Rhinolophus ferrumequinum: one gene and its partners. The protein of the gene in region 1 purifies or fractionates together with the protein of each later gene. This does not show direct contact. Links are inferred from orthologs where the notes say so. Each region holds a gene or a part of one and is shown in the gene's direction. Other genes may lie near its edges. The genes, in order: SSRP1, MMS22L, TRIM24 and LEO1.

Region 1 (8,262 bases):
GGATTCGGGAACGGGAAAGAGAAAAAAAAAATTCCTGAGAACGGGCGGGAATTCCCGCCTGGAAACCCTAGGTAAAGGAAACCAGGGATGAAATGGTGTCAAACAGAGACACCTGAGGCTAGAGGCGGTAGTGAGAGCATGTGTGGAGACAATTAGGTGGTGTGTTGCTGTGAGCACACATGTCCTAGGTAAGATTATGCATCTGGTCTACCCGACAGGCACACTATGGAAGAGATTCAAGTATTAGTTAAGCATCAACATCACAGCATTAAAAATCCTTTCACATTCTATTGAGTCCAAGCCACAGTCATCTCTCTCCATCTGATTGCACCACCTTTTAACACATTTTCCTGCCTCCACTCCTACCTATTCCAACCCCTTTGTGTATCAGCCACAGCGATCTTCCCAACTCAGATCTCATCATGTCTGTCTCAATCGATTCTCTCTCTCTCTCTCTCTCTCTTTCTCTCTCTCTCTCTCTCTCTCACACACACACTAAAACCCTTTAGTAGCCTCCCATTCACTCTTCTGTAAAAAAGGAAAGATCTGAGGTGTCTGAGGTCTGACCTTCGTCTGCAATCCTGCCCTCATCTTGCACTACCGTCTCCTTTGCTCTGTCTGCTCCAGCCATAAAGACCTTCTTTTCTTCTCCCCATTAGCCAGGCCCTTTCCCTTTGCAGAGCTGGGTTACTCTGCCTTGAATGCTCTTCCTACCCTTTTTTCACCTGGGTTGCTCCTGCTCGTCCTTCGGATTCTGGCTTGAGTGCCACATCTCCAGAAAACCTTCCCTCGGTTCTCTGATCAGGTCAAACACCTCCATACTAGCAGTCTCTCCTAGCACCCTGAGCCACAGTTGAGATTTTACATTTGTTGGCAGAAATTATTTGATCAATGTCCATCTCTGGCATGATCTGCTCCATGAGGGTGAGGACCCTGTCTGCTTTTGCCCACCGTTCTATCCTCAGTGCACAATATCTGGCATGAAGAGATGCTCAATACATTTCTGCTAAATTAGCGACAATGGATTCCGGAAGTCCTAATGGTGCATGGGCTCACGTGCGTGTGCAGAAATGGGGCTCACACCAGGGGGCTGGGCCGCAGAGGGCGCGATATAACTGGAAGGAGCTGCCCCGTGGGGAGCTGTCAGGCTGGGAGATGGATGGGGATGAATATCAAGATGCCAAAGAGCCTCTCGTGCTTCCTCCAGCAGGCCCGGCTCCAGCACCGAGGATCAGAGCACCAGACTGCATCCTGATGCGGGAGAGACAAGGGCAGTGGGGTGCTGAGGAGGCTGGTCCAGGAGCCCGTGCCTCTACCCACCTCCATCAGTCTCCTGCCTGGACCCAACGAAGTCAGGCCAGGCTGGCAATGTGCTGAGGCAGCATTTGCACTCACCTGGACCAACGCACCATCCTGTGGCTGCATATAAACCATCAGTGCATCACACATGCCCGTGAACGTGGAAGCTTTAAGAACCAACTCTGAGCCAATCTCCGGAGGTGCGGGCAGGAAACGTTTGCAAACATCATATCTCACAAAACCTCAAACTTGGAAGAGAACTTCAAGGCCATTTAACCCTACCCCGAAGCATGAGTCCCTTCTCCAATGTCCCCACGAGGAGTACAGGATGTACAGCTTTGTCTACAATACACGCATAACTGAAGCTTACTGGCTCTCGCTAAGCCCGCGGAGCAAAAATCCCTTAATTCACGTCTAGCCACATTTCCACGCACACCCTCACACACTACTGTGACCTTCAGGCAAGGAGGCCCCCCACACGCAGCTCCCACCCGTACGCACACAGGATATTTCCTTTGGCTTGCTTGAATTAACTCATGACAACCATCAGTGGCTTGCTGTCTCTCTCACACAGACCCATTGTCTCAAGGAACAGCACGAGACTGGAGACCTGTACACCGGGAAAGAAAACCCTTGAGGTTTTGGCCTGTATTTCCTGATGCCCGTGTGTGTGAGGGACCATGAGAAGGACAGAACCTGTGTGTTTTCCCCCACCATTGTGTGTTCCATGGCCCTTTGTGCATGGGTGTGAGTGTGAGTGTGTGTGTGTGGGTGCCTTCAAGAGGTGGGGGCCACAGGGGTGTTCAGACCTTGCTGGCTCTTAGGCACCTCCCAGCTGGGTTATATAGTACAAAGTCAGGTAAAAATAGAGAATTTACGTTTTCTGACAAAGGGGAGTGTTTCTGGCTTCTTGAGGAAGGACGCTACACTATGTTCAGAAAAGCCACTTTTCTCTTCAACAGCTCTCCCCTCGAGTGTTATTGGTGCCCGTGGTTCTCCCTCCCTCCCAAGGGGCAGGTCTTCCCGCTTTGTCCTACCCTCCAAAAGCCCGGCTTCTCCCCTTTTCATGTTCTCTCCCCATCTCTCCATGCCAGGAGGGGACCCTCATTCTAAAGCGGATCCAGTTCTCTCCTTCCCTCCTCCAGCTGGCCCTCCTGACACCCCGCAATCAACCTGTCACTGGCTCCCTTGTTTCAGTGCCTTTCTATCCCCATTCCTGGAATCCCTTGTCTTTTTGAGACCCCAAAGGGTTGACTGAGATGAATGGGAAGATGTGTGTTTGGGGGTCTGTCTGTTCTCTGGTTGGGGGGGAGAGATGAGAAAAGGGAGAGGGGAGACGGTCACCTGGGACCTCTCCTGGTGGAGGGTAGTGCCCTCGCACTGCGTGTCTCGGGAAGCCCCTTCAACTCCGGAGGGTTTACTGTGAAAAAGAACTCATCTCAGGACCAGATCCCCGATGGGGCCACAGAGGCCAGTCCGAAGGACATGGCTCCACAAAAGAGACTTCCCCCAGAGAGAGGAGAAGCTTGGGAATCTGGACAGCCACACTAAGGGGAGAGGGGGCCAGACTCACCCCACAAAGTAGGAGATGATCAGAAGCTGAACTGCTCGGTTGATGATCCCAATGGTCCAGCTCTTCACAACCACCGACTTGGTGGTCTCGTAGGTAAAGAAATCTGACATGCAGTTCATGTTGAAAGAGTGTTCGGGGGCCACTCAGAAGGGACCCAATGGCAGTCTCAGGAGGGAGCAGCCCTCAGACAGGGAGATAGGGATCAACGCCTGGAGGGGCGGCGTAGAGGGGCTTGAGGAATGGGGAGCCTGTTCCTTTAAGTTAGGCAACCCTAGTCCAGTGCCCAGGCTCTCTCTGCTCTTGACACTCTGGGCTGCCAAGAGTCCAAGGCCAGGGCGGTGGGGGGGGACCCCTTTTTGTTCGTCTCCACCCTACTCCCCTGTGATGTCATGGCAGGGGTGGGGTCTCCAATCCCAGGCTCCTGATTGCCTGGGATCCAGCTGGCTAGGGCCCTCTGGGACTCATGTTTTATCTGCACTCTGTCTATCGTTTCTGTTCTGTTCCGTTCTCTTATGCTGCATCTTCATCCCAGCTCACCAGCTGCTTTATGCTCTCCTTAAAGCCCCTTGCAATGCCCCATCCCCCAGCCACCTAATAGCCTGCCTGCTCTGAGTACCCCTTTCATTCCGGTCTTCCTAAAGCCACTCAAGTCTGCAGCCATCCCCTCCCTTCCCAAGTTGCCTCCAACAGCATGGGGCAGGGGGACGTGGTCTTAAATATTTCAGGTGGTCTCTTGGGAGGGGGCGAGGAGCGTCACAGCTCATATTTCTAACTGAAATTGGCAGAGGCTGAAACTCTATCTGTAGTATTATCACATTGGGTTATTTATTTCTTTTTGTTGTGTTTTTGTTTTACTGTCAGCTTACTCATCTGAATCATTTGTTAGATTATATGCTCCTGGAAGGCTGGTGCTGTTTCCATCTTGTTCACTTAAATATCCTTAGATCCTAGAACTCTGTTGGCGCTCAATACATATTTATTGAATCCAGATGAATTTATGTTGCTAGATAGTGGTGCAGTAGCCATTACCCAGAGGTGACAGCCATGAGTTCAGGGAGCAACAGTGCACTCCCGCTGTCTGTTATACCAGGATTCAGTCAGCAAGCTGGTGTAACTGGTTTAAGTCAGATTTTCAGAGAAATCTTGAGTTTAAGTTTTCTGTCCTAATGTTTTCGCACAGGACACATACGCTCAATTGTTCTGAAGGTAGAGTTGCTGTGATTATGACAGAAGAGAACTGGACTGGGGCAAGGACATGTGGGTTCTAATCTCCAGATTTGTTGCCAATTTATGAGACGCTGGTTAACTCCTCTTTGGGCCTCAGTTTTCCCACCTGCAAAAGGAGGTTGGAGTTGGCGAACCCAAACTCGTCTCCTGGGTCTGGCCACCTTTGATTTTGCAAGATGCATCCTAGAACTATGTGAGGAGGGCATTTCTCCCTCCGGCAATCCCAGATTGATGTGGTTTCAGGTCAGCTCTGGCTCTGACACCAGCACTTGAACTTGATACCTCCGTTTACCAGCCTCTTCCAGGCAACCATACATTGCAGTTAGACATGTGACGTTTTTTGGGTGCAGACAGTGAACTCATTTCCAAAAGGATCCAATCTCATGTGACTGACAGGGGAGAGCAGGACAGTCACAATGACACCAACACACGCATTCTCTTCGCAGCCAGTGGGCGGGGTCATTTCTCTCAACTCTTTAAATATGTATTTTTCTTCTTGTCTCACAAATTCCTACTCTACAGAAACCACTATTGGGCAGGAGAGAAGGGCCCACATCCATCCAACACATATACACACACATCTGTGGAAAGTCTGATAAAAGAAAACTACACAATTTCTCTTTAGAACCTAGTCCTTCACTGAAGAAGTGTCTGTAATATTTAAAAAGCCCTACGCGTACCCATTTTCTAGCCAGATTCCACGCGGGTGGGACTTCCTCGCCGCCCTGCCGACCTCAGGTCCTCCAGGGCCGCCGACGCTCTATGTGACCGCCTCGTAGGTGGGCCGAGCTCGCACCTCTCTAGCCATCTCATCCTCTCTATGATCCGAGCACAGCTTCCGGTGGCGGGACTCTGGGGCGCGCACGCGGGAAAAGGTTCCCCAGTGTTCCCCTACCCCCTGTGTCCCTACCCCCCTTCCCCCGCATCCCCTAGCGCGCCCACAGCCCGCACCTGGGCCGTCACGAGGCTACTGCTTTAGAGGTGGGTGGTCACCGTCCCCGGGCCTCTGGAGGGCGCGGGTCCCGCTTCCCCCCGGGACGCTCGAGATGGACCGTTCCGCGTTCGAATCTGCGGGTAGCGGGCGAATCCATTTTAGGGGGAGGGGGAACCGTGGGCCTGGGGCCGCGGCGCGGTGGGAGCTCTGGGAGGGAAACCCTGCACTCTGAGCTGGGTTGGAGCACGGGTGAGGTGCGGACTTCAGGCAGGCCCTGGGATACCGCTGCTCGTTGCCATGGCGCCGGGTGGAGCGTCCAGAGCCCGTGTCTGGTTAGGGTGTAAGCGCTACTCCAGGCCTGGTTCTCTAGCCGGGGCTGGGCCTGGCCCCTCGAGCTCTGCGGAGCCCTCCTGTAGGCTCCTAGGCAGAGGAGATCCTGAGACATCCCAGGCACAGCCACGGTTGCTACCTGGCCCCATCTGGGGGCAGAGTGAAGTGCTGTCTTTCACGCTCGTCTGTTTTCCTCTTGAATTCAGATCCCCAACTTGCTGAGGATCTGCACACCCATCCAGGAGTTGGGGCCCAGCTTTCCCCAAAAGGGAAAGGACAGCATGGCAGAAACACTGGAATTCAATGATATCTATCAGGAGGTGAAAGGCTCCATGGTAAGAAGGGCTTGGGCTTCCACTACAGGTGGAGAAGGGAAGGGAGTGGACTTTTTGTCAGTCAACAAGAGCTACTTTGAAAAAGGAGTCAGTATAATGCGTACCTCGTGTTTCCCTAACAAAAGGCAATAGTGAGAGAGTACAAGAGTTACAGGATCTCAGAGTTGGAAGGGACCGGACCTGCTGCTCCATCCCGCATCCCCAACCTGAGGACCTGCAGGGGTTCTGGATGCCAGAGCCCGGATTAGAATCCAGACTTTCTGGCTACTTGTCCCTTCTTGCTGGCCCTCACCACTTCAGCTGTTGTTCCTGCCAGCCTAGGTGTTGGGTGGGACTGTACCCAGTATGCACTGTGCACCGTCCCCGTGCATTTGGGTCGATTTTTCCAACAGAACGATGGCCGGCTGAGGTTGAGCCGTCAGGGCATCATCTTCAAGAACAGTAAGACGGGCAAAGTGGACAACATCCAGGCGGGGGAGTTGACGGAGGGCATCTGGCGCCGTGTGGCTCTGGGCCATGGACTTAAACTGCTTACAAAGAACGGCCATGTCTACAAGTATGACGGCTTCCGAGAATCGGTGAGGTGCCCTGTTGCCATGAACCCCCCTTTTATGGCGTCGTCTTGTTTAATTTTAATGTAGAGAGAGTTGGGGCTCCTTCCTCTGATAACCATGTATTTGCTAGTTTGGGCTCCACAGAGCAGGGCCATCGAGGTCATTCAGCAGTCCGTGTCCAGTTTTGGGTGCAGAGTCTTGGGGGAGTCTTAGTGTCTTGACTCCAGAAGATTTGCTACCATTTTGATTTTTTTCATGGTTTCTGCTTGTTGCCTTTGTCCAGGTTCAGCGTCTTAGCTTGATGCTTTAGTTTGGGTGTTGTTTTCCCATTTCGAACTGCTTGAGTTAAAGACTACTTCACGTTAATTTCCACTTGCATTAAAGCAACACCTCTATAAAGTCAGATAGCATTGTGAGGAATTGTCAGTTCCGTATTTCATTCTCCCCCCAGCCTGAGAGCCAGTCCCCAGAAACAACCTTTTTCAACATCCTTTTAAACAATTTTATAGCTGAGCTTCTAAGTCAACGTGGATTTCTGATAAAAGGTATATCAGGGCAATTTCTCCGACATAGATGATCCCGAATGTTCAAGTTTGTGTTAAAAGCACTGGGGTTTACTGGGACTACTCTCTCCACTCCACTTGCAGGAGTTTGAGAAACTCTCTGATTTCTTCAAAACTCACTATCGCCTTGAGCTAATGGAAAAGGACCTATGTGTGAAGGGCTGGAACTGGGGAACCGTGAAGTTTGGTGGTGAGTCCTGGGCAAGGATTGAAGTTTGGGGACAAGATAGGATGAAGGGTTTCAGCCTTTAACTTGTTTTGCTCTCTTTCTGTCACTGTCTCTGACTTCCTGTCAGTCTGTAATTCATCATGTATTTATTGAGGACCAACAGTGTTTCAGGCACTGTGCCTGGTCTTGGGGGTACAGTTTGAGCAAAGTAAGCCCAGTGCCCTGCTGGGAATTTGGCTTCTGCAGACTCGAGGGGAGGAGCTGGTGGCTGATAGCCCTTTCCCTACAGGGCAGCTGCTTTCCTTTGACATTGGCGACCAGCCGGTCTTTGAGATACCCCTCAGCAACGTGTCCCAGTGCACCACAGGCAAAAACGAGGTGACATTGGAGTTCCACCAGAATGATGACGCAGAGGTCTCTCTCATGGAGGTGCGCTTCTACGTGCCTCCCACCCAGGAGGATGGCGTGGACCCCGTTGAGGTGAGGTGTCCCCTGGTCACCTTGGGAGCAGATGGTATTGAGCAGGCCTTAGCTGGCCCAGGAGCAGAATCCCTGCTACTGGATGACCAGTATGTGCTTTTGCAGGCCTTTGCGCAGAATGTGTTGTCTAAGGCGGATGTGATCCAGGCCACTGGAGACGCCATCTGTATCTTCCGGGAGCTGCAGTGTTTGACTCCCCGAGGCCGATACGACATTCGAATCTACCCCACCTTTCTGCACCTGCACGGCAAGACCTTCGACTACAAGATACCCTACACCACGGTGCTGCGTCTCTTTTTGCTGCCCCACAAGGACCAGCGCCAGATGTTCTTTGTGGTGAGCAGAGACCACCGGCGGTGGATTGTCCTGGTTTTTGCCCGAGTCTTTAGTAGCTAGATCTCACTGGGGTTCAGTTAATCAGCAAGTTCTGGACCATTGATTGATGTTGAACCTCGTCGGCTCTTCCTTCCAGATCAGCCTGGATCCGCCCATCAAGCAGGGCCAGACCCGTTACCACTTCCTGATCCTACTCTTCTCCAAGGATGAGGACATCTCCTTGACTCTCAACATGAATGAGTGAGTGTCTCTCTGGACTCATCCTGCCATGTCCAGGCAGGAGACAGGCGTGCACTAGCGGGCAGCAGTGCTGGTGACCGGCTGTGTCTTCCTCTGTTTGTAGGGAAGAGGTAGAGAAGCGCTTCGAGGGGCGGCTCACCAAGAACATGTCGGGGTCCCTCTATGAGATGGTCAGCCGTGTCATGAAGGCGCTGGTGAACCGCAAGATCACGGTACCAGGCA
Region 2 (8,067 bases), on another chromosome or scaffold:
CACAAAAGAATTATCACCTATTCTCCTCAAGCTCTTCCAAAAAATCCAGAAGGAGGGAAGGCTCCCAAACACTTTTTACAAAGCCACTATCACCCTGATCCCAAAATCAGACAAAGACACCACAAAAAAAGAAAACTACAGGCTGATATCTCTAATGATCATAGATGCAAAAATCCTCAACAAAATATTAGCGAACAGAATTCAGCAATACATTAAAAAAAGTCATACACCATGATCAAGTGGGATTCATCCCTGGTATGCAAAGGTGGTTCAACATCCACAAATCAATTAATGTGATACACCACATTAACAAAATGAAAAATAAAAATCACATCATCGTATCAATAGATGCAGAAAAAGCATTTGATAAAATCCAGCAGCTATTTATGATAAAAACCCTTAAGAAAGTGGGAATAGAGGGATCACATCTCAACATAATAAAGGCCATATATAAACTCACAGCTAACATCATACTCAATGGGGAAAAGCTAAAACCATTCCCCTTAAGATCAGGAACAAGGCAAGTTTGCCCACTTTCTCCACTTCTATTCAACATAGTGCTGGAAGTTCTAGCCACAGCAATCAGACAAGAAAAATAAATAAAAGGCATCCAAATCGGTAAGGAGGAAGGAAAATTGTCATTATATGCAGATGACATGATACTATATATAGAGAACCCTAAAGACTCCACTAAGAAACTATTAGAGCTGATAGATGAATTTAGTAAAGTAGCAGGATACAAAATTCATATTCAGAAATCAGTTGCATTTCTATATACCAATAATAAAACATCAGAAGGAGAAATTAAAAAAACAATCCCATTTACAATTGCTCCAAAGACTATAAAATACCTGGGAATAAATTTAACCAAAAAAGTAAAAGATCTGTACTCAGAAAATTATAAGACACTGAAGAAAGAAATGAAAGAAGATACAAATAGATGGAAACACATACCATGTTCATGGATAGGAAGAATTAATATAGTTAAAATGTCCATACTGCCTAAGGCAATATACATATTCAATGCAGTTCCTATCAAAGTACCAACAACGTTTTTCACAGAAATAGAACATATAATCCTAAAATTTATATGGGACCACAAAAGACCCCAGATAGCGTCAGCAATCTTGAGAAATAAAAACAAAGTGGGAGGTAAAACAATACCTGACATCAAATTATACTACAAGGGCTACAGTAATCAAAACAGCATGGTACAGGCATAAAAACAGACACATAGATCAATGAAAGAGAATAGAGAGTCCAGAAATAAATCCATGCCTATATGGCCATTTAATCTACGACAATGGAAGCAAGAACATACGGTGGAGTAAAGACCGTCTATTCAATAAATGGTGCTGGGAAACCTGAACAGACACATGCAAAAAAATGAAGCTGGACCCCCTCCTTACACCATATACAAAAATAAATTCAAAATGGGTTAAAGACTTAAATGTAAGATCTGAAACCATAAAATTCCTAGAAGAAAATATAGAAAGAAACTTCACAGACATTACCCAGAGTAAGATATTTACTGATATATCCCCTCACACAAGGGAAGTAAGAGAAAAAATAAACATGTGGGATTACATCAAACTAAAAAGTTTTTTCACAGCAAAGGAAACCATCAATAAAACAAAAAGGGACCCTACTGAATGGGAAAAGATATTTGCCAATGCTATGTCTGATAAGGGGTTAATATCACAAATTTATAAAAAACTCACTCAACTCAACTCCAAAAAAACAAACAACCCAATTAAAAAATGGGCAGAGGACATGAAGAGACATTTTTGTAAAAAGGACATACAGATGGCAAACAGACATATGATAAAATGCTCAAACTCACTAATCATTACAGAAATGCAAATAAAAACCACAATGAGATACCACCTCACCCCAGTCAAAATGGCTATCATCAATAAATCAACAAGCAACAAGTGCTGGGGAAATAAGAGGGGAGAAAAGGGAACCCTTGTGCATTGTTGGTGGGATTGCAGATTGGTGCAGCCACTATGAAAAACAGTATAGAGGTATCTCAAAAATCTGAAAATGGAACTACCTTGTGATCCAGCAATTCCACTCCTAGGTATCTATCTGGAGAAATCCAAAACTCTAATTCAAAAAACTTTATGCACTGCTATGTTTATTGCAGCACTATACACAATAGCCAAGACATGGAAACAACTGAAATGCCCATCAGTAGATGACTGGATTAAGAAACTATGGCACATTTATACAATGGAGTATTACGCAGCCATAAAGAAGAAAGAAATCTTACCTTTTGCAAGAACATGGATGGACCTAGAGAACATTATGTTAAGTGAAATAAGGCAGACAGAGAAAGACAAATACCATATGATCTCACTTATATGTGGAATCTAAAGAAAAGAATAAGTGAATGAACTAATCAGAAACAGGTTTGGAGACATAGAGGAAAAACTGAGGGTTGCTAATGGGAGGAGGGATGCGGATAAAAGGGAAGGTGAGGGGATTAGAAAACAGTCAGTAACCACAAGATGGCCACGGGGTTCTGAAAGTTAATTTGCAGAATGTAATCAATAATGTTGTAAAGATTTTGTACGGTATCCGATGGACACTTGTCTCATTAGGGAGACCACCTCAGGAATGATGTAGATGCCTGATCACTGCACTGTACACCTGAAGCTGAAGCTGAACAATAAGGAATGTCAACTACAAGTTTGTATGTATATGTATATATACATAGAAATGAAGCGGAGTACAGCATTGGGAATAGAGACAGTGGAAATGTAATGGCTCTGTGTGAAGTCAGAGGGATAGTGGATGGGGGGAGGGGGGTTCACACAGTGTGAGAGATATAAAAGGTAAACGTTTAAGTATTACTTTGTCTTGTGCACCTGAAACTAATAAAAAAAATAAAGAGTGTATTCTGCTATTGTTGAGTGACCTATAAATGTCAATTAGGTCACGCTGGTCGGTAGCGCTGTTCAGGTCTTCTGTACTAATTTCCTGTCTACTTGTTCCACCAATCACAGAAAGGAATGTCGAAGTCTCTACCTACCGTTAATAATTTGAGTATTTTTCCTATAAATAATAGTGTTTTTCATGTTATGTGTATTGAAGCTCTATAACTTGATACATACACATTTAGTATCGTTGTCTTCTTGATATAATTGGCCCTTCTCTCAGATTCACACTCTATCCTTCGTTAGCCTGGACTCTAACCCAGGAGAATGAATTTTATAGATTATATTCTTGCCCTGTTTTTAGGTTGGTTTTGGCCACTGAGAGACACTGGGAGGACATTGTTGTGTGGAGGGAAAGAGGTTTGGATACTTAGTCTTTTCAGCTCCTCCCTGCTGGGTTGCAGGTAGGCAGTGGGTATGTTCCTCCATGAAGCCACCATAGGTGGTTATCAGGTAGGTGGCTGTATCCTACAGCAGTAAGTCTCCTTGGGCTCTGGTAAGCCCTCTTTCCCTTACCCTTTAGGCCTAACAGTGATAATGACTCTGATTAGTTCACCTTTTTTTGTTTTCAGGTAATTCTGTCAACCACACCTTTGTATATGGCCCTTTCATTTAAACACCCTTCAATCATTTCTCTTGAGTATGCCATCTTTTACCTACTGTTATAACTGTTACTGTTATAACGTGTTACAGTACTTGTTTAAATTACTTACAGATAACTTATTTGGTTCTTCCTGTTCCACTCATTGGTTCAACCAAGTTTATCACTCAACGTCAGGCCCTTGAAAAAGGGAAAAGGGTCTATTTTGATGTTTTCACTAGAGGAAGAAGTAATAATGGCTATACTGACCAAGTTCCCCAAAAGTCAGTGCCAGGGCCCAATATTCTTATACCTATGCACTATTTCCCAGGGATTGTTGTAGATGACACTACGTGTTACTGCTGGACTCCCCCTGGAACATAAAGCAGCTGCAGTGGTCCCCAACGCAGCATGAGATCTCATGGTACATCTGCTGAGCATTAAAGACATTGCACTCACCCTCGCAGCCCTAAGTTGCAGTCGGAATACAGATCACATTGTGTTTTCCCCCCACCTCATCCCATTTGTCAGAAAATGTGGTTTCAACAGAGGAAAGAGTTAAGTTTCCTATATAGGAATTAAACGTAAGACAAACTATTGTGGAGGACCGTGCAAGGGCAAATACTCAAATTATAGCAGCACATTTGATTGAGAAATTCTCAGGTTTTTCTTGAATCTAAAGACGGCGAGATGCTGAAATGTGTTCTCTCTGACAGCCTTAAAAATCTTCTAAGGAGACTTTCAAGAACACTTAAAAAGATAAAAATGCTGCGAATGGGCTATGTTTTTACAAAAGCGTCCAGGTTTAAACGACTTAAACCTGCCTGGATGTGTTGCATAAACGTGGAGCAACAGTTTTCATATCAGTGTTTTCCATTCACTGGATTCACCTCATTTTTGCACTTGCTTGGCTCACAATCCATAAACAGGCATCGTCGTTCTTAACGAAAGAGTTGCAGACACTAGCCAGGGAAGAAAAGGGCGAAGACGCGGCTGTCGGTGTGAATGAGACACCCGCCCCGGACTCGATCAAAGCTCCTTTTTCAGGCCCACAGAGGATAATCCCGTTTGTCCCTATGCTTCTCTCACCTCAGTTTCGTCATTTTCGTTGCCCACCGAGGCCCCGCCTTCCGGCCAAAGGCACCAATTAAAGCTCACAAAAAAAGAAAGGAAAGGCGGACCGATGCGGCACTGAAGCCTTGGCTGACGGACTCTCGCGAGAACTCACGAGTGCCGACCATTCCCACGGAGACCTCGCGAGCTTACCTCCGGGGGCGGGCTCCGCTGTGGCCCCGCCCTTCTTGAGCGCGGGCGCACAGTGGCGGGAATTTCACCTGTTTGGGATTTAGATCCCACGGACCACCGGGCTGTGATCGGGATCGCGGCGGGCGGATCTCGGAGGCCGACAGTGTGAGTAGGTACGACGGCCACCGGTGCACAGGACACCGGCTCCCCTCGCCATTGGCCCGGTCCACGCGGGTGTCTGCCGTGTGCGGACCTAGTGAGACTTGCTCCCGGGCCTGGAGAAATGGGGGTTGGCGCGGCGCCGTCCTGCTCCCCACCCCGAGGCTGCAAGGGAGCATTTGCACGACACTGGGGAAGCTGGCAGCGCAGTTTAGTAACACAGAGGAGGGCGCAGGGCCAGGCGATCTCTGGAGTTAAAGTCTCTGTCCTGCAAACATTTCTTTCCTCTTTACCCTGCCCTGTGCAGCAGTGTCCGACCTACATGGGATGTTAAGTTTCTGCTACATCCAATCGCGGGTGCGTTTTGCTTAGGTTCTGACAACCTTGATCTTGGGAGATCGGTGGGAGAGAGTTATTGTGAATTTGACTTATGTGTGTGTGTGTGTGTGTGTGTGTGTGTGTTGGGGAGGAGCGTTTTGGGAACTTTCTGAAGTCACCTCTGATTTCTCGGCCCGCCCCACCTCCAGGAATCTCATCACGACTTCTTTGGAGCCCTTAATGATAATTATAATGAACCCCAGACATTTCAGAACATGAAGTAAACAATGGATATCTGTTCCGCTGCGTCGACTTTCCTGACCGACAGCTTGGAACTGGAGCTGGGGACAGAATGGTGCAAACCCCCTTGCTTTTCTTGTGCTTTTGACAACAGAGGAGGAAAACATTTTTCTGGAGAGTCCTACCTTTCCAGTGGAGCCCTTAAGCGGTAAGTGAAAAATCGGAGACTTTGTTTTTCTCTCATCAGATTTTCCATCAGTTTGTTAGGGATGTTATTTAATTAAGATTAGAGTTAACTAAACTTTGATGTGCAAGCCATGTGTTTGTAAATCGGCTTAGTATATCACACGGATACAAGCTGTTAGTTCTGTTGTTGTTGTCATGGTTAGAGCTTACCTGAAAGATTTTTGGATATGAAGAACAACTTTCTTGCTCTGCCAGATGTTCTCTTACCTCACTGCTGCCTCAGCTTTGGATTAGGGAGGTGGGTACTGATTTGTTCAGTAATCCTTAAGTAAAACATACACATTTTTTGTTGCCCCAGTTCCTTCTGATACTATGTATCTGTATATAGAAAGGTCTTAATAGACTTATTTTAAAAAAGCTTTCTAATAAATACCAGATTGTATAAGTTCACAGGAATATTATTCTTCAAAATTTTTGCCTTGGGCAGTTGTGTGCTGTTATTGAAATATTTTGGGAATACCTGCTGAGGCAATTTCAGTCAGAAAGGAAATCATTTTTGTTGGTTTTACAGTTGTACCTTGTTTGAGACCTTAAAAGAGATTACTCATTTTGATTGTTATTCTCCAGACATGGTTCAATAACTTTTAGCTGTTTTAAAAATTAAATGCCTCCTCAAAGGATGAAATTCTACAACTGAAGACCACTATTAAACACAGGCGAAAGTGTGTTCCCTATACTCCACGCATTTTTCACATAAGTTACATTGCTCTTGAGACTGAATTTTTTAATACAGTCTAGCTGTAGTGTTCCTGAATATGTAAGGTACCAGGGTATATCGTTTGTGACTTTAGAATCTCATTGCTAGCGTGTCATGTACAATACAGGCTCATATAATGTCAAAAATGACATGCTATAGTAATGAGATTTAGCATACTTTTCGTGAGATTAAATCACTTCTCATTTCAGATTAATTTTGAATCTTGATCCTTTACCAACTAATTTTGAAGAGGATACTGTGGAAATATTTGGCATTCAGTGGGTTACTGAAACAGCATTAGTGAATTCATCTAGAGTGCTATTTCATTTATTCAGGTATGTTTCGTTTTGTTTTTAAATATCCAAAAATACATTAAGAATGTATATATGCTACATTTAAATGAAAATGGAAAGGTGCAGGAAGGATTTCTCCTCCCACCCTCATCCCATAAGACCCTATGTGTCACTGTATCTGTGCCATGTTCTATGTTTTATTGAGAGAACAGGCTAAGTGAATGATTTTCTAATTCTGAACATTACAGGATGAGTTGAGTCTTTATCTAGGACACAGGTCATGAATATGGGTCAATCTTTAAGGAGTCGAAAGGCAGCTAGGAAGAATGGAAAGTGGAATTAAGGAATTAGTTCTCAGGAATTAAGTTGGAACATTATAAATATAACTTTGCCTGATAACTCTAGTGGACATTGTTCCTTTTTGAACTCCTACTGTAACTATGATACAACTTAAATTTCATTATGTAACTGTTAACCTAGGATATTTTATATAAGTATCTTAAACTTCTTGAAGATTTAAACAGTATCTAATTGATAGTGAAATCTATGATATTTGATACCATTTCTTAGGTATATGCAGCTTTTAATAGATATTTTTGGCAAGTCAGACAAAGGCATATTTTAGCTTTTCTTAAAGTTATCTTGCCTAAAGCTGACCCTGTAATAAACATTCATGAAGTATTAAATGTCACTCACAAATGGGACACATTGAAGCTCATAGATTTGGAAACATCTGTGTAATTTTACATGCTTTAAACTATTCTAAAATTAACTCTCACATACATTTTTTAAATTAGGCAACAACTGTACAACTTGGAAACTTTATTACAGGCCAGCTGTGATTTTGGTAAGTTGTGTGTTTAAAGGCAAATTATAGTGAATCGCACATGGGTCTACGTTGATAATTGGGATATCATACTAACATGGTGGCAGTGTTAGGACAGAAGTTCAGGATAAAGTATATTTAGTGTTCAGACAAAAGTATGACACTGAAAGTTTGTTGTAGGTAAGATTTATATTTTTTCAAATCTGTAGGTAAAATTGATTTAAAGCTAAACATCTGTTAGTAACTTGCTTTGGGGATGGGGAGTAGGATGGAGAACTATACCAGACCTTGTGCTGTCTTCTTGCTCTTCTGCTTTCTGTCTGTTTTTGACACTTAATGAATTACTGATCTTGTGGGGACTTGGTGTAGTTAAGGTTGTGAAGGGAAATGAGGGGCAGTGGGTTTTAGTGCAGGCCAGCTGCTTCTCCTTTCTGGCAGTTTAGGTGCACTTTGTGTTTAGAATTATGGCTCTGTGATGATCCGGTTTCAACCCTAGCTAATGGTGGGTCTCATATCGGGTA
Region 3 (7,396 bases), on another chromosome or scaffold:
AGCAAAGAAAAAAGGTGCAGAGGCCAAGTTGAGGAGAAACCAGGAGCAAAGCTTCTAGTTGTCCATTTCCAATAGAGTCTTACAAACAGCATTTAATTCTCCCAGCAACAATATGTAACAGCCCAGAAACAGTGTTCCCAACCAAGGAAAGTCATCCAAGCCTTGGCATTCAGGACTTAAATTGATGGTCGGTCACATAGGTATACAGCACCCATGGGATCGACCTTAGCTACTCAGTCTTCAGTTCCCCAGAGATAAAAATGACACTGCATGGCAAGAGACTCAGGTATACAAAAAACTGGTGTTAGCCATAAGACATGCCTTCATTAGCATAAACCACCTGGTCAAATGATGGAGTGTGGCCCAAAGCCTCAAACGTCCCAAAACTCTCTTATCAGGTAGGATAAATGTTCAGAGACTATCAGTTAGTCAAGGGCCAGTTCTTTCTTTGGAATGTGCAGGGTTTGAGTAATCCAAGCTCACTGAGTTAATCCTTTAGTGTACCCCAAAATAGTATGTAGGCTATTAACATTAATTAAAAAAAAAATTGAAAAAAACGAAACAAAAAAACCCTGAAGTTTTTATCTTCCTGATAGCAGAAAGCTTCATCTAGTCATATTCTTAATTACTTTAGGTTTTGTTTCCATTTTTGTTTTTTTGTTTTGGTCATCATTTCAGGTTTTAAATCAATCAATACAGCATTCATTCTCCCTTCTCTCTAGACCCAATTTGCAGATCCAAGGGTTAAATAGTATCATGGCATAGGCGGGAAAGTGTACAGAGCATATAAAATATACTATCAACGAGGTTGTTGTTGGATTGAGGTTTGCAAAACAAGTTGCTTCCTAGTAGGAATATGGCCGCACATGTGTGAGCCTGATAAGAATGAAGTGAAAAACATGTTTTTGTGTGAAACTGAGTATCACAAAATCGAGTGATAAAAGCGTTCACCAAAACAACTTCTCGTTATTACTGAAGAGGTAAACAACTCCTGGCAAACAACTTCTGGTTATCACCTAAGAAGTAAATAAGTCCAAGGGAAAGGATAAAGGCAGAACTCCAGAGCAATGCCAGGAGAAGCCCAACTGGGCGCTCCGGCTAAGACCCTCTGCGAGGTGCAAGCTGCGATACCGGAACTCTCCGAAGTTCTTTCTTTGCAAACAAGACCAACTTGACTCAGACCTGTCGTGGGCCCAGTCGTCTCTCCCAGACCAGGGACCTTCTCCATCTCGATTGACTCTGTGACTTGGTTCGTTATTAAATTCTATTCTGTCTTGTATAAACTATGGTGCTTGCCAGAGCATTGGCCTCTGGAGGGACATTGGCTCCCAAATAAAGCTGTGTTACTCACTCTGTCTGAACCTGTGTGTCAAGACTTTGTTCCCCACTTACGTCATGAGTACCATGCAGGGACATAGGGCCCTGCTGAGGGGTTCATGTCCCCTTGACTTTTAGGAAGAGACTGAAATATGGCAATTGCCCTTTCAGGTGCTCGCGACAGAAAGACACTGGATTCTTGGGCATCCTTGGTTCATGGTGGCATACACAGAATGTGCCTTACCTGCATTGGTTCTTGACTGCTGGCATCTCTGTGGAAGCTATTGAGATAATGAGACAGTCTTTGGTCCCTGCACACTGCATCCTTCTTTTCCTAACAATGAAGCCTCAAATCATCCAGGCCTTTCTGCTACTACTAAAGCTACAGGGATCTTTTCCTTGTTCCTGTAAAGCCATAGGAAACTGGGTGAAGGAGTTATCTCAAACCCTTCTTGCTAGACGTGCATCACAGCCTCTGAGAGGTCTACTCAAAAATGGTTTCGTTAAACTCCCCTGGAAGTTCTAAAATTTCTATCCATTACTACCTTTTGAGTGGTGGGCATGAGGAATTCTCACTAGACTCGAATGCTCTTGTTCTCCTTCTCTTCCAGTATGGTCAACTCTTATCTCTGCTCTCAGAGGTGGTTGTAGAGGTGATGGTGATGAAGTTTAGAAAAAGGCAAACCATCCAAAAGGCTGAAGCTTAGAATGGGTATGGAAAACAGTGATGATCCAGACAGGAAGATCAGATAGGGATGAAATGTAGAGAGACTTGGATGCAGTGGGGAGCCATAGAAATTATGGAACAAGAGAGGGGAATATATTGAGAGCTGTAATTAAGGAAGAATAATCTATTGGTAGATCTCTGCGAAAGTTTTACAACACACTTGGGAGAATGACAATATCTAGATAAGAAAATCACACAAGTAAAATAATCTAAAATAATAAATTCGTTTTCTAGACTTAAAAAAAAAACAGAAGCCATATGTATTTGAACAAAGTAAAACATACAATTGTTTTAATTACCTGAGACTAGGAAGTCTAAGAATATGGAAGATAATTTTCTCTAAAACTGATTATCCATGATGACTAAGAAACTAAACTAGTGGGCTGTATCAAATTACATGGAAATCTCTCAAAACAAGCCTCCCCAGTTCACCTCTTATTCTTTCCTTATCCACTACTGTCATCTGCGGGAATAAAGAGCACTTGTCTTTAGTCTGTGTGAATCCTGTATACTACCTCTGTAATGAATTATTAACATATTAAAATCATTAATTTGTAATACAGAATTTGCTTTCATAGTATATGAAGATTTTCAAAGTGCAGCTAGAAAAAGATAGGGTGGAGAATGAATACTGGAGAAGAAGTGATGAACTTTGTCTGGGATGGTTTAGAGGGAGAATAGGTAAGTCTGAATTTTGGGGGAAGGGCATTCTAAAACAAAGGGAAAAGCACATGCAAACCAGGAGGCATTAAAATTAAAGCATGAGAATACTGGGAACTTCAGATTGAGAGATGTATAGGGATGAAATCATGGAGGGATAGGTAAGAAACTTCGGATAGGTCTCTGTTTCTTTAAGGGTAGTCTTGGAGCACCCAGATCACAATTATGAGATGCTACTAAAATTGAATATGGGATGGGCCCAAAGAACCAGCTCTTAAGCAAACTTGCTTGGTGAATTTCATGCAAACTAAAGTCTAAGAAACTAGTACCATACAAAATGAATAGCCCTTGAATATCATTAAGGAGAACTTTGCTCTGAAGGCTTTTGGAAAATGGATTTTATGACCTGTCTGGTAAAGAGTCTGGTAGGAGAGGAATAATTTGGGAAGGTACTGAGGTCTTGTGGGAGGGCTAGGAAGCCTAGAGTTTGCCCCCGCCTCCCACCATGCCATTTTTTCTTTCAAGATCTTTTCAACTTTAAGTTTTTCTGATCCCATACCACTCCCTCAAAGGTCCAGCATCACTTCATTTGTACTTAAAGAATGGCACTTCCATACAATTTTTTTACAGTCTTGTGTATACAAAAGCTTTGTTTCTCCTAACCCGTTTCTATACTTCAAGCTCCTTAAAAGTTTGGCCATTTTTTGAAAATATGTGTAACTTCTAATGTAACTGTGTGTGTGGGGGGGGTTGGAGAATGAAAACAAAAATATTGAAGTTATGAATTATTTGGACATAAATATTGAGTTTTATTTTTATTTTTGGAATGATGCCATATTTGTGCAATAAAGACATTTGCAAACAATTTTTATATATTAAGTCCTTGGAAAATGAACCCTTTTATTCACTTAAAAAGCAAATCATTGACTTTAAAAATCAATTTTCATTGGCGAAATCCTTACAAAATTTCTGACTTGCAATAGAACCTTCCCCCTTATTCTTCATGCTCCATCATTCATCATAGAGATGAGTACCTTCAGGTGGCAAAATCCATGCTGCCTCTACGGTATCGTTTTTTCACATTTTCACAATTCTTTCCTTGTTTGCTCTTCACTATCTCTACTTCACCATCCTTTGACCCTCCCACCATATTTATGCCTTCTACAGGACCCCGGTCTCCAGTAGTAAAACGAGAGTTTTCGAAGCAGTTACTTAATTAACGCGCATACACGGTAGAGCCCCGCCCCGTAGGAGGAGCCAACACAGGAGGACCGAATTAGATGGTCGGTCGTTAACAAATGAACCCTCAATATTTTCAGAGGAGCTACACGCACACAAAGGCCCAATCAGAGGCCGCGGTTCCAGGATTTTGAGGGGCGGGGCTTCACAAGAGCCCTCCCACCTCCCAGCCTCCCGCCGGGACCGTCGGAGCCTCGCGGGCATCGGCTGGCCCCGCCCCCTGGCCTGGCGCGGCGGCTATTGGGCGGCGAGCTCCCTGCCGTCGTCTCAGTTGCTGGGAGAGAGGGCGAGGGCGGGGGCGGATCCGGAGGTGGGTCGGGGGCTCAAGAGAAAAGCGGGGAGGCGAGGGCGGGCTGGGCGGATTCGAAGATCGCCGCGGCGGTTGGCGAAGCGGACGGAGCACGTCCTCCGCGGTGCGAGGAACGGTCCCTGCTGACTGATCCCCTTCTTCCGGCCGCGCCACCCGGGAGGCGGATCCCCGGGGCCTGAGGAGGCTTCCTCGGCCCGGCCCTCTCGCCCTCCCTCTCCCACGGGTCACCCGAGCGGCCTGTGACGACGAGGAGAAGGAGGAGGAGAAGGAGGAGGAGGTCGTCGGGGGCGGCAGCGGGCGGAGACCGCGCTCCCCCTTCGGCGGCGGCGGGGGCAGGACAATGGAGGTGGCTGTGGAGAAGGCAGCGACGGCGGCCGTGGCGGCTTCGGCGGCGGCCGCCGGGGGGCCCTCGGCGACGCCGAGCGGGGAGAACGAGGCCGAGAGTCGGCAGGGCCCGGACTCGGAGCGCGGAGGCGAGGCGGCCCGGCTCAACCTGTTGGACACTTGCGCCGTGTGCCACCAGAATATCCAGAGCCGGGCGCCCAAGCTGCTGCCCTGCTTGCACTCCTTCTGCCAGCGCTGCCTGCCCGCTCCCCAGCGCTACCTCATGCTGCCCGCGCCCATGTTGGGCTCGGCCGAGACCCCACCGCCAGTCCCTGGCCCCGGCTCGCCGGCCAGCGGCTCCTCGCGGTTCGCTACCCAAGGTGAGAGGCGGGCGCGGGGGAGCCCAGGGAGGGCGTCGGGGAGACGGGCGCCCTTGTGCTGCGCGACTCGCTGTCATGTCGCCGCCGCCAGGGGTGCGCGACGGGGGAGGGGCGAGAAGGAGGGTCTGTGTTGGCGGCGGTGACATGGAGGGCCCGCGCTCGCTCTGCGGCGTGCCGCGCGCCCCGCGAGCAACTTCCACGGGCGCCGTGGACTTGTCCGCGCTGCTGCTCCTGCCCCTCGGCATTCCCCTCCAGGGTTGGGTGGCCCACGCGACCCGCACTTTTGAAAACCTCTGTCGGAGTTTGCTGTAGTCTGTATCTCGGGTTCTTTGCCAGCTGCATCTAGTTAACGGCTACCCTCTGCCTCCCCCAAAGCTTTGTCCAGGTGCATACGATCCTAATCATCTCGTCTACACGCACGTTTTTCTGAGCTGGAGTGGGGAGGCAGGGATGAAGATGAAGTGATGGTGACTTTCTTTGATGACTGATTACAGATCAGTTGCCGTCTATTTTCTGTCTTGTATGTTTCGTGTTCTTTACCTTCCTAAGAACCCAGTTCTCTTCCCCTCTGCTGTGGACAAAGGAACTAAGAGGCGGTGTTTTGTTGTCTTTCTCTTTCGAAGATTTTATTTTTGAAACGGTAAAAGGTAAAGAGAAATAGAACAACGTGATTTGGGATGCAGGATTTTTCTTGTATTTTGTAGACAGCAGCTGGAAATGTTGAAGTTACTGTTCTCTTTGTGGTGTTTGTTTCTGTATAACAAGACTTTTGACAGGTAGTTCCCATTGGTAACGTTAACAGGTTTGAAACATTTAAAGTTAGTCAAAGTAAGCACAGTAATTCTTTTTCTTGTAGAATACTTGAGGTTTTTAAATTTTAGTATTGCAAATATTTGAGCTCCTTCTCTTAAAAATACAAAGTAACTGGAAAAGGTGGGATTATTCATTTCTAATATTTGCTTCCTTTTTAGAGGGACTAGTAGATTTGAGATAAAATGCTAATTAAATAATTGAGCTAAGTCAAAGGGTATGTGAAATTAATTAATGCTTTAAATAAATGGTCGTGTTAGACTCCTCATTTAATTATATGCTAGAAACAGTATCTAGTGGAGGGAGACAATTTTCCATGGGTCTTTCTCTGTTTCTGCAGGTCCTGCCAGTGGTTACTGCCCTTTGTTTGTATTTTTAAGGGATGTTTGTGTAAGGAACAGTCTTAGAAGAGTGTCTTCCATCAGAGCAAAGAGCAGGCATGCATATGGTCCAGTGGAATACAAATAAATGTCTCCTTCTGGAGTAAAAGGCAGGCATGCTTACTGCTCATCATAAAAGATTGGGGTTCCCTAAGCTTAGGTTTCCTCTCATGTAACAACCCATTGCCTGTGCAGGTGTCAACTGCCTCTCTTCACCTTGCCTGGTAAGAGCTGGGACTCTGGGAACCAGTGCAAAAATGTTGGTGCTTTGGCTTACGCTATTATTGTAAGTAATAAAATGCCCTTTGTCTGTGACTCCTGAGTCTCGTGTTTTCTACTAGCATCCGTGGTAAGCTACTTTGTTAGCTTGTGGTAGGGAGGATAAAATCTCAGATCCTTCATACTATTAGTTTGGTGCAAAAGTAATTGGTTTAAAAGGTTAAAAAAATAATTGCAAAAACCGTAATTACTTTTGCACCACCCTAATAGTTTGCTCAGATGTGGCCCACCTGTTGGAAAGTTAGTACAAGTGAAACATCTTAGTTCTTAATTTTTAGACACATTTTAAGGTTTCTTATATTGCTATTTTAAATGGTTAAACAGGCAACTAGCCAATTAGGATCTGAATTTTGCATAATTCTAGAATTAAGATATATTGTGTGCCTGGCCATGACATGCAGACCTGAAGGAATGAGAATTTGGATAATAAAATCTCTGATCCTCAATTCTGAGACAAGTTTGTAATTCCAGATTTCTCAAAATGTTCTATATAATCCCAGTCCCCAACTCTTTTTTATCTTTGTATTTGTATTGTAAGCAAGAGTTCAAGGAAAGCATTTAAATTGGAAGATAAATGTTTTTGTGTACTAAGAAAAAGCATTAACAAATGATACTTGCACATACACCTCAAAAAAGTTAGGGTCATTTGCAATAAATTGAAAATATTTTCCTGAGTCTTATTGACTGGGATATTTTCTCCCCTCTCTCCCTGCAAACTTATTTTAATACCAGCCGAAACAAAAGTTTAGACAATACATTTTAGAACTAAATAGATAGGGTTCATTTGATCATCTGTTCCTCATTCTCCTAATGAGCTTGTGGGTACAGGCATCATGGATCAAACTACAATACCTACAGGGGCTAAGCTGGTAATTGAGATGGAGAACTAGGAGCCTGGGGTTAAAATAATGGGGAGTGGGGGCCGGGGGCAAACTAGGCTCTCACGGATTCTCATGTGAGTGCAGGGCCA
Region 4 (8,347 bases), on another chromosome or scaffold:
TGATGTACATTCATTTTGTTTTTCTTGGAGTTAATAATTGCCTTGCTTTTCTGTTTGCTTAGTTTTAATGTGTCAGTTGCAAATTTTTTACATACTAATTACAGAAAATATCCATTCAAAATATTCAAACACATCAGATATAAATATACAAAACTGAAAGTATATATATTTATAGGTTTATTAGTACAGTATATTCCTTCCTTTATTGTTTCTCATCCTCCAGCAAAATGCAAGTTTCTGAGAACAGACACTTGACCTATTTTGTTTCTGTTGTATCTTCAGTGCCTAGATTAGTTTCTGGCATGGAGAAAGCACTTATCCTTATTGGATTAGCAAATGTAGCAGGTATTCTATTCATTTCCTTCTTAGTCTGCTTTCTCTTGGAACCTTCTGTCCTCTTGCTCCAATCTGGACCAGCATCCCTCTTGGCCTGCAGGCCCAACTATCATTCTGGAAATTTCTTTTGCCTCTTTTCAATCTTGGATTTCCTGCCTTTTAAGTTTTTCCCTTTCTTGGCTTAGTCCCTCATTTTAGGGACTACAATTCATAGATTGTAAAATTTTTGAGTAATTCTTCCAACTGCTATTGCTGTATAACAAACCACCTCAAAACTTAGAGGCATTATGCCACAACACCCCCTTACTGTCTCCTGGTTTCTGTGTGACAGGAATTGAGGAAAGGGCCAGCCTGGGCACCTGTGGTCTGGTGTCTCTCACCGAGGTTGCACGCACACTGAAGCTGGAAGCTTAAGAGGACTATTGCAGCTGAGGGTTGGTCAGGCATCTCTCTTTATGTAGTTTTGGGGAGTCTCCATTTGGTCTCTCAGCGTGGTCTAGTTTGGGTGCCAGATCCAGTGAATAAGGTGCATGAGGACACACCATAATGTTTTTATTTGACAGAAATTGCTGTACCAGAAGTGATGTGTGACATGAACCTTTTGTCATAATGGAGGATGAAGTAAAGACACTCATGGAAGAGGACTTCCAGAACTGCTTCAGAAAACGGCAAGAACGAAGGGAGGTGTTCGAAGCAAGGGGGAGTATTTTGATGGGGATTAATGGCAATGTGTCTTTTACTGTAATAAATTTTTTTAATTTAAACATTCACCTTATCTTTTGATCACACCTCGTATTCCGGTTTTGCAACTTGATGTGAGCATATAATTTATAAAATTTAAAGGTATTTTTGCTACCTTTTACGAGAGTCTTGGTTCTTCTTGCCTACAGTGAAGAATCAAAGGTCAGCAAGCTGATTAATATGCAGGCAGGGTTGATTAGTGATACACTCTTAGGGAAGAGAATGGGCCTAGCCAAGGTGGGGGACAGGGAGAGAGAGGGAGAAAGAGAGAGAAAGGGGAGGAAGGGGAAGAGAGTGAGGGCTAGAGAGCTCGAGGGTCAGAGACAGAGAGAGCCCTTGTCCCAAGGACTTATAGTTTTCCGGGTGAGGTGAGGGAGTTACATATTGATTTGGTGGGAAAAATGGTGCATGCTCTTCCATGGGAGGGTGTGACCTGCTAAGATGGGTGGAGGTCTGTTGACTCAGATCCTCATCTTGCTCCAGACCACGGCATTGTTATCTGTTGTTGTAGAAACAAATATGAGGCAGTTAATCAAAGCTACTTATGAGCTTTTTCTATAGTCACTATGGACCCCCTCCCACCCCGCCTCCTCCTACATTTTCTAACTTCTACCTAGCATCATCAACCTAGTTGAATCCCTATTCTTTGACTGGGGGTATTGTGGTGTCTGAGGATCACACTTCACCTAATGAAGTCAGAACATGGGAAAAAGAGACAACCTCCAAAACTGGGAATCAAGGTAAAGTTACTCTGGAGTTGTTTTAGTGAATCACACACATAATAGATGAAATTTTTCATCCCTGGGAGCAAATCAAGAGATTATCTTAACATCCAGAGTTAAGTTAGTTAAACACAAACCCAGTAAGATGAACTTCTTATCCAATAGGATAAATGAAAATTATTTTAACATTCAATGAAAGTGATCCGGGTGTAACCTTAGGCAAGCAGTACTGGAAAATGATTGTGATTGATTTAGCTGAAATCTAATTGATTGCATTATATTTAAAGAAAGACAATGAATAAAAGAGCAATGATCGGCATACAGTATAGTAAAAACAAAAGTGAAAATCAAAGAACCAGAAGTTATTTGTTTTGCATTATTCTGATGGGATAAACACACTAATTCTGCTAGTCATGAATATGGGCATGGTGATTCAGCATGCTTCACTCAATTTATTAAGATTTAATCAATGTCCTTTTCAAGGATAGTATTCTAAATGAAAATGAAACTGAATTACAAATAGAATACTTGTTTTCCCAGTATTCCAGAAAGTTTTAAAGTAATCCCACCTACCTACTCTTATATCATCCATTTTATCACAACAGCTCTGGAACTGATAACATACCTAGTTAGCTAACCTTTTGCCCATTTGGACCATGTCAGGCACTCTTATTGGCAACAAAAATATATCTCATAATCTCCAAACTCAAAATCCATGTTGCTTGTCCAAGATCAAAACCCTCATATTGGCCTAATTTGGTAATAACCTAACACAGGATGCACACTTTTAGTTAACCTTTTAATTTTTCAATTACAACTGACATACAATATCAGTTTCGGATGTACAATACAGTATTAGACATTGATATAAATTATGAAGTGATCACCCCAATAAATCTAGTACCCATCTGACACCATACATTGTTACTACAATATTATTGACTATATTCTTTATCCTATACTACACATCCCCATGACTACTTTGTAACAACCAATTTGTACTTCTTAATCCCTTCCCCTTTTCACCTATCCTTCCAACCCCCTCCCATCTGGTAACCATCAAAATGCTCTTTGTATCTATGAGTTTGTCTCTGTTGTTAGTTTATTTTCTTCTTTAGATTCCACATATAAGTGAAATCACATGGCATTTGTCTTTCTCTGTCTTTCTCCATTCAGAACAATACCCCTAGGTCCATCCATGTTGTTGCAGATAGCAAGATTTCATCCATTGTAAATATGTACCACCTCTTCTTTATCCATTCATTCACTGACGGACACCCAGGTTGCCTCCATATCTTGGCTATTGTAAATAATGCTGTGATGAACATACGAATGCACATTTCCCTTCGAAGTAGTGTTTTGGGTTTCTTTGGATAAATACCCAGAAGTGAGATTACTGGGTCCTTCTTTGTCTCTTCCTGTAGCCTTTGTTTTAAAGTCTATTTTGTCTGGTATAAGTATTGCTACCCCAGCTCTTTGTTTGTTTGTTTCCATTTTCACGAAATATCTTTTTCCCTTTACTTTTAGCCTGTTTGTGTCTTTCAATCTGAAGTGACTCTCTTGTAGGCAGCATATGTAAGGGTCTTGTTTTCTTATCCATGCACCCATCCTATGTTTTTTGATTGGAGCATTTAATCCATTTAAAGGAATTGTTGATAGATATATAATTATTGCCACTTTATTATTCTTTTTTTTGTTTAATCTTCTTTCTTCTTCTTTTTAAAGAAGTCCCTTTAACATTTCTTGTAATACTTTGGTGTTGATGAACTCCTTCAGCTTTTTTTTGTGTCTGGGAAGTACTTGTTTCTCCTACAATTCTAAATGATAGGTTTTCTGGATAGAGTAATCTTAGTTCTATGTCCCCGCTTTTCACCACTGAGTATTTCTTGCCAGTCCCTTCAGGCCTGCAAAGTTTCTGTTGAGAAATCAGCTGACAGTCTTATGGGAGCTCTACTATAGGTAACTCAACTGCTTTTCTCTTGCTACCTTTAAGATTCTCTTTGTTTCTAACCTTTGGCATTTTAATTATGATGTGTCTTGGTGTGGGAGGATGTACATATTTTATTTTACTGGGGAATATCGGGGTACAGTGTATTTCTATAGGGCCCAAGTAGTTGTCCTTCAATCCAGTTGTGGAAGTCGCAGCTCAGCTCCAAGTCCGGTTGCCATTTTCAATCTTTAGTTAAAGGGGCTGCAGCCCACCATCCCATGCGGGAATTGAACCCGCAACCTCCTTGTTAAGAGATCAGGCTCTAAACAACTGAGCCATCCGGCCCCCCCTTCGGCAGCTCAGCGGCAGCTCATTGTCTTCAATTTAGCTGTGGAGGGCACAGCTCATTGGCCCATGTGGGAATCCAACTGGCAACCCTGTTGTTCAGAGCTCACGCTCTAACCAACTGAGCCATCTGGCCGCCCTAGAATGTACATTTTTAAAAACTGAAATGAAAGCTTTCTAAAAGAGACCTAGTTCTTTAATGTATACAATCGCTTCATTTCTTTGAGCTCCTGTAAAGCAAGAGTGTTTACCTCGCACTAACCTATTATGAAAACTCTATTACTGTCTGGTTGTACTATGTATAATTGTAGCCACATATCCTCTAAAATCAATTTCTAGGCAAAATAAACAAGTCAATGAAACCCTTTAAGTAGTGTTCTAGCTGCAGGTTGCAATCCATTAGTAAATCATGAAATCATTTTAGTGGGTGCACTGCCTGTCAGCATTCAACATAAAACTAAGAAGCTGAAATAGAATAAAATAGAGAATAGGAAATCTTAGACTGCATTTTAGTAGTGAAGGAAGTATTGTTTTGTGAACTATTTATTTCAAATTTTTACATTGTGTACTAGGTTAAGATGGAAAATTTATTTATGATGCTTGAGATACACTGCACTAAAGCTGCATTGGTCAAAGAGTTGTCTGAGAAAGACAACTCCCCCCCCCCCTTTCCGGAGGGGACTCTGTAAGGTCCTCCCTTTCCTAATTATGTAAATATTTGTTATGAGGCCAGATTTTCTTCACAAGCGTCAACCAAAACAGACTGAATGAATGTGAAAGCAGGCATGAGAATTCAGCTGTCTTCTTTTAAGTCAGACATTAAAGACATTTTGAAAACTGTAAAATAATTCCACTCTTCTAATTTTTTTCTCTTACAAAAATCCAGTGATTTAAAGTTTTAAAATGGTATTTGTTAACCTGTTTATTATGTTTAAATTTTTTTAAATTTCTGATTTAATTATGAATGTGGTAAATATCAACATATATTACCAACATAAACAAAAGCACTTTGGAGTCCTCAACAACTTAAGAACCGCGCGTCAATATCAAACAAAGGACATCAGGCCCGACTCCGGGCAGGTTTAACACGGTCCAAGACCCTCTGGGGAGAGTGTCAAGCACCACCCACTCCATCCACTCAGACCCCGAAGGCCCGGCTCCGGGTGAAAATCCTCGCCAATGAGAACAGATACAAAGGGCGGGGTTTGTCACCATGTGAACGCCTAAGCATCGACGAGCATATAGATTCGTGGAGCTCGCGAAAATTAGGTCACAGGAGGAAAGCAGCCTTTTAGAGAATCTTTGCGACACTGTCGCGTTTCGTTGGTTTCGTGCCGTAAAGACGGTCGCGGAGCAGTCCCCAGCCAAGGCAGAGGCGGACGTAAGCGAGAATGGCGGATATGGAGGACCTCTTCGGGAGCGACGCCGACAGCGATGCTGAGCATAAAGGTGGGATCGACTGGGCTTCGGCGGAGCGGGTCGCGGAGGGCCTTCTGCGGCCGGAACCCGACCGCAGTCAGGTTCCGGGTCTGCGAACGCTCGGACGGTGCGGGCTGGTGGTGCTTCCTCCTTTCCTGCCCCAGCGCCCCCTGCACTCCCGGCGGTGCCAGCCTCCTCCTGCGGGCGGAAGTAGAGGGACAAACGCTGAGCGTGAGCCTGGGGATTCTTGGTGTCGGTGGAGCATGCAATGCCTGGGAGCGTGTAGAGCGAAGGGGGCGCGGGGCAGGGGTGGAGGCGCGGGCGAACCTGCACAGCCCAGGACGGAACCTTGGGGTCCTGCTCTCTCCTGGCTTGCACAGGCTAGCGCATAGTAAGGGCTGTTTGTGAGTGAATGGAAATTAGGTGTTCAGGAATATGGGGAGTGGGTGGACGAATTTACAGATGAGCTCAGAATGCCCGCTTCAATGAGACCACACCATGGGGTTATGGGGCGTTTGAGATACCTGGGAAAGGAAACTAGGAAGGAAACCGGGATACATAGGCATTACGCACCGGAGAGAATGCCTTCTGAGAGCCTGTGCAGAAACTAGAATTTACCTGGTAAATTAGAATTTACCTGGTAAACTAGAATTCACCAAACTCAACTGGTATTAGATTGCGGGACGTATAGTGTCTGTGTTTGAAGAGGAGAGATGAAGGATTTGTTGATGAAATGAATGAAAATGAATGAATGGTTCATGGAAGTATTTCTGGTACCAGGACTGTGGCTATTTGAGTTTGAAATATGAATAGGAGTTATTTGAAGTGAGAAGGGGTCTAAGACCAAGTTCAGAATTCTTGCAACCCTCCAGTCTCAAAGTAACTTGATCTACTTTTTGCCTTAGCAAAGTGCATTGTTGTAGTTGTTCTTTTTCTCTCCAACTCCAATTTACTCATATTTTTTAGTGTAGTGGAAGGAGCACCAGGTGGAAGTCTAGTCTGAGGGCTTTAGCAGGATGGGTGTCCAGGAGATTCTAGTCAGGAAATACAGCCCTATATGCTACCTCTTGTTCCACTACCTTTGCTAATGTTTTCATTTCCCCCTCAATTTTACTTGTCCATATCCCATTTGTCCTTCAAGGCATAATTCCACCATGTGAACCTCCCATGACTCACTTCTATGAAGTTGTTCATTCATTCAATAAGTAGTTATTGATCCCCTATCATGTTCCAGCTACTTTGCTAGGTGTTGGGGATATAATGATGAAGAGATTGCCTCTGCCCCCTCCCTTTCTCCACCAGCTTACACTGATGTTTAATGCATATTTAATAAATAAATTGGAGCAGTAGAAACAATAGTTTAGTAACATGTATCCTGCAGTGCTTTCCCATTGCAAACTCAGTGTATGGGGAAGTGATATTTGGAGGTATCTGCTTCTCTTGGCTTCACACTTTACTTTCTCTTGTAAGTCTGTTGCTTCTTTCATCTTACCATTAGATAACAGGACTCAATCAGATTTACTACCAAATCTGTCCTTGAAGGTTGCTGTTGATCACGAAGGTAGTATGGATGTGACAGGGAATTCCTGTTATGCCTAGCATACTTCATTTTCTCCCTGTGCTAAGAGAGTTGTGGAAAATAACTGCACCTGACAAATTTCTTGGCATAACAATGAGTAGAATTCCTACCTAGGCCCAGCATGTTTCTTTCACATATAAATGTGCCAGGTCGTCTTTAATTTCTTTCAGCAATGTTTTGTAGTTTTTATTGCATAAATCCTGCACCTCCTAAATTTATTTTTAAGTGTTTTATTCTTTTGGATACTATTGCAAGTGTAACTGTTTTCTTAATTTCGTTTTTGGATTGTTTGTTGCTAATGTACAACTGATCTTTGTGTGTTAATCTTGTATCTTTGCTGAATGTGTTAACGCTAATAGTTTTTTAGTGGATTCTTTAGGATTTCCTACGCGTAAGATCATGTTATCTGCAAATAGAGATAGTTTTACCTCTTCCTTTTCAATTTGGATGCCTTTTATTTCTTTTTCTTGCCTAAGTGCCCTGGCTAGAACTTTCTATCCAATGTGAATAGAAGTGGTGAGTGGACATCCTTGCCTTGTTCCTGTTCTTAGGGAGAAAAGCATTCACCATTACTTACATATGATGTTAGCTGTGGGTTTTTCACAGATGCCCTTTAGCAGGTTGAGGAAATTCCCTTCTATTCTGTTTTTTGAGTGGGTTTATCATGAAAGGGTGTTGGATTTTGTCAAATGCCTTTCCTGCATCAACTAAGATAATCACTTTTTTTCTTTTATTAATATGGTTTCACTTCGACTTTTATAGGTTGAACCACTGTTGTATTCCTATGTTAACACCCACTTGGTATGGTGTACATCTTTTTAATATGCTGCTGGATTTGGTTTGCTAGTATTTTGTTTAGTATTTTTGCATATGTATTCATAAAAGATATTGGTCTGTAGTTTTCTTTTTTGGTGACGTGTTTGGCTTTGGTATCAGGGTAATGCTGGCTTCATAGAATGAGTTTGGAAGTGTTTCCTCTGCTTCAAGTTTTTGGAAAAGCTTAAGAAGGATAGGCATTAATTCTGTAAATATTTTATATGATTCACCAGTGAAGCCATCTGGTCCTGGGCTGTGTTTTTGTTGGAAACTTTCTGATTACTGATTTAAATTCTACTTTGTTATAAGTGTATTCAGATTTTCTATTTCATCTTTAGTCAGTTTTGATGGTTTGTGTGTTTCTAGGAATCAATGCATTTCATCTAAATTATCTAATTTGTTGGCATACAGCTGTTCATAGTAATCTCTTTTAATCCTTATTATTTCTGTAAGACCAGA

What was found.
Region 2: the proteins of SSRP1 (region 1) and MMS22L purify together in Homo sapiens (affinity purification with mass spectrometry; 3 studies listed by BioGRID and IntAct, counting the BioPlex papers as one, with this or other methods). This does not show direct contact. The link is inferred for Rhinolophus ferrumequinum from reciprocal best matches to the Homo sapiens genes SSRP1 and MMS22L.
Region 3: the proteins of SSRP1 (region 1) and TRIM24 purify together in Homo sapiens (affinity purification with mass spectrometry; 3 studies listed by BioGRID and IntAct, with this or other methods). This does not show direct contact. The link is inferred for Rhinolophus ferrumequinum from reciprocal best matches to the Homo sapiens genes SSRP1 and TRIM24.
Region 4: the proteins of SSRP1 (region 1) and LEO1 fractionate together in Homo sapiens (co-fractionation; 3 studies listed by BioGRID and IntAct, with this or other methods). This does not show direct contact. The link is inferred for Rhinolophus ferrumequinum from reciprocal best matches to the Homo sapiens genes SSRP1 and LEO1.

The regions. Positions count from the first base shown.
Region 1 is NC_046294.1:11,753,651-11,761,912, forward strand, and holds the start of SSRP1 (FACT complex subunit SSRP1), read left to right. Parts: upstream 1-4,940; 5' UTR 4,941-5,080; intron 5,081-5,569; 5' UTR 5,570-5,644; coding exon 5,645-5,698; intron 5,699-6,090; coding exon 6,091-6,276; intron 6,277-6,899; coding exon 6,900-7,005; intron 7,006-7,273; coding exon 7,274-7,464; intron 7,465-7,569; coding exon 7,570-7,800; intron 7,801-7,936; coding exon 7,937-8,040; intron 8,041-8,143; coding exon 8,144-8,262. Other genes in the region: P2RX3 (P2X purinoceptor 3), read right to left, coding at 2,873-2,991. UniProt on the Homo sapiens protein: Component of the FACT complex, a general chromatin factor that acts to reorganize nucleosomes. The FACT complex is involved in multiple processes that require DNA as a template such as mRNA elongation, DNA replication and DNA repair.
Region 2 is NC_046286.1:52,352,302-52,360,368, reverse strand, and holds the start of MMS22L (protein MMS22-like), read left to right. Parts: upstream 1-4,815; 5' UTR 4,816-4,940; intron 4,941-5,146; exon of another isoform or gene 5,147-5,283; intron 5,284-5,453; 5' UTR 5,454-5,531; coding exon 5,532-5,692; intron 5,693-6,636; coding exon 6,637-6,762; intron 6,763-7,517; coding exon 7,518-7,567; intron 7,568-8,067. UniProt on the Homo sapiens protein: Component of the MMS22L-TONSL complex, a complex that promotes homologous recombination-mediated repair of double-strand breaks (DSBs) at stalled or collapsed replication forks.
Region 3 is NC_046309.1:10,568,216-10,575,611, reverse strand, and holds the start of TRIM24 (transcription intermediary factor 1-alpha), read left to right. Parts: upstream 1-4,304; 5' UTR 4,305-4,593; coding exon 4,594-4,957; intron 4,958-7,396. UniProt on the Homo sapiens protein: Transcriptional coactivator that interacts with numerous nuclear receptors and coactivators and modulates the transcription of target genes.
Region 4 is NC_046289.1:55,980,490-55,988,836, forward strand, and holds the start of LEO1 (RNA polymerase-associated protein LEO1), read left to right. Parts: upstream 1-5,326; 5' UTR 5,327-5,465; coding exon 5,466-5,523; intron 5,524-8,347. UniProt on the Homo sapiens protein: Component of the PAF1 complex (PAF1C) which has multiple functions during transcription by RNA polymerase II and is implicated in regulation of development and maintenance of embryonic stem cell pluripotency.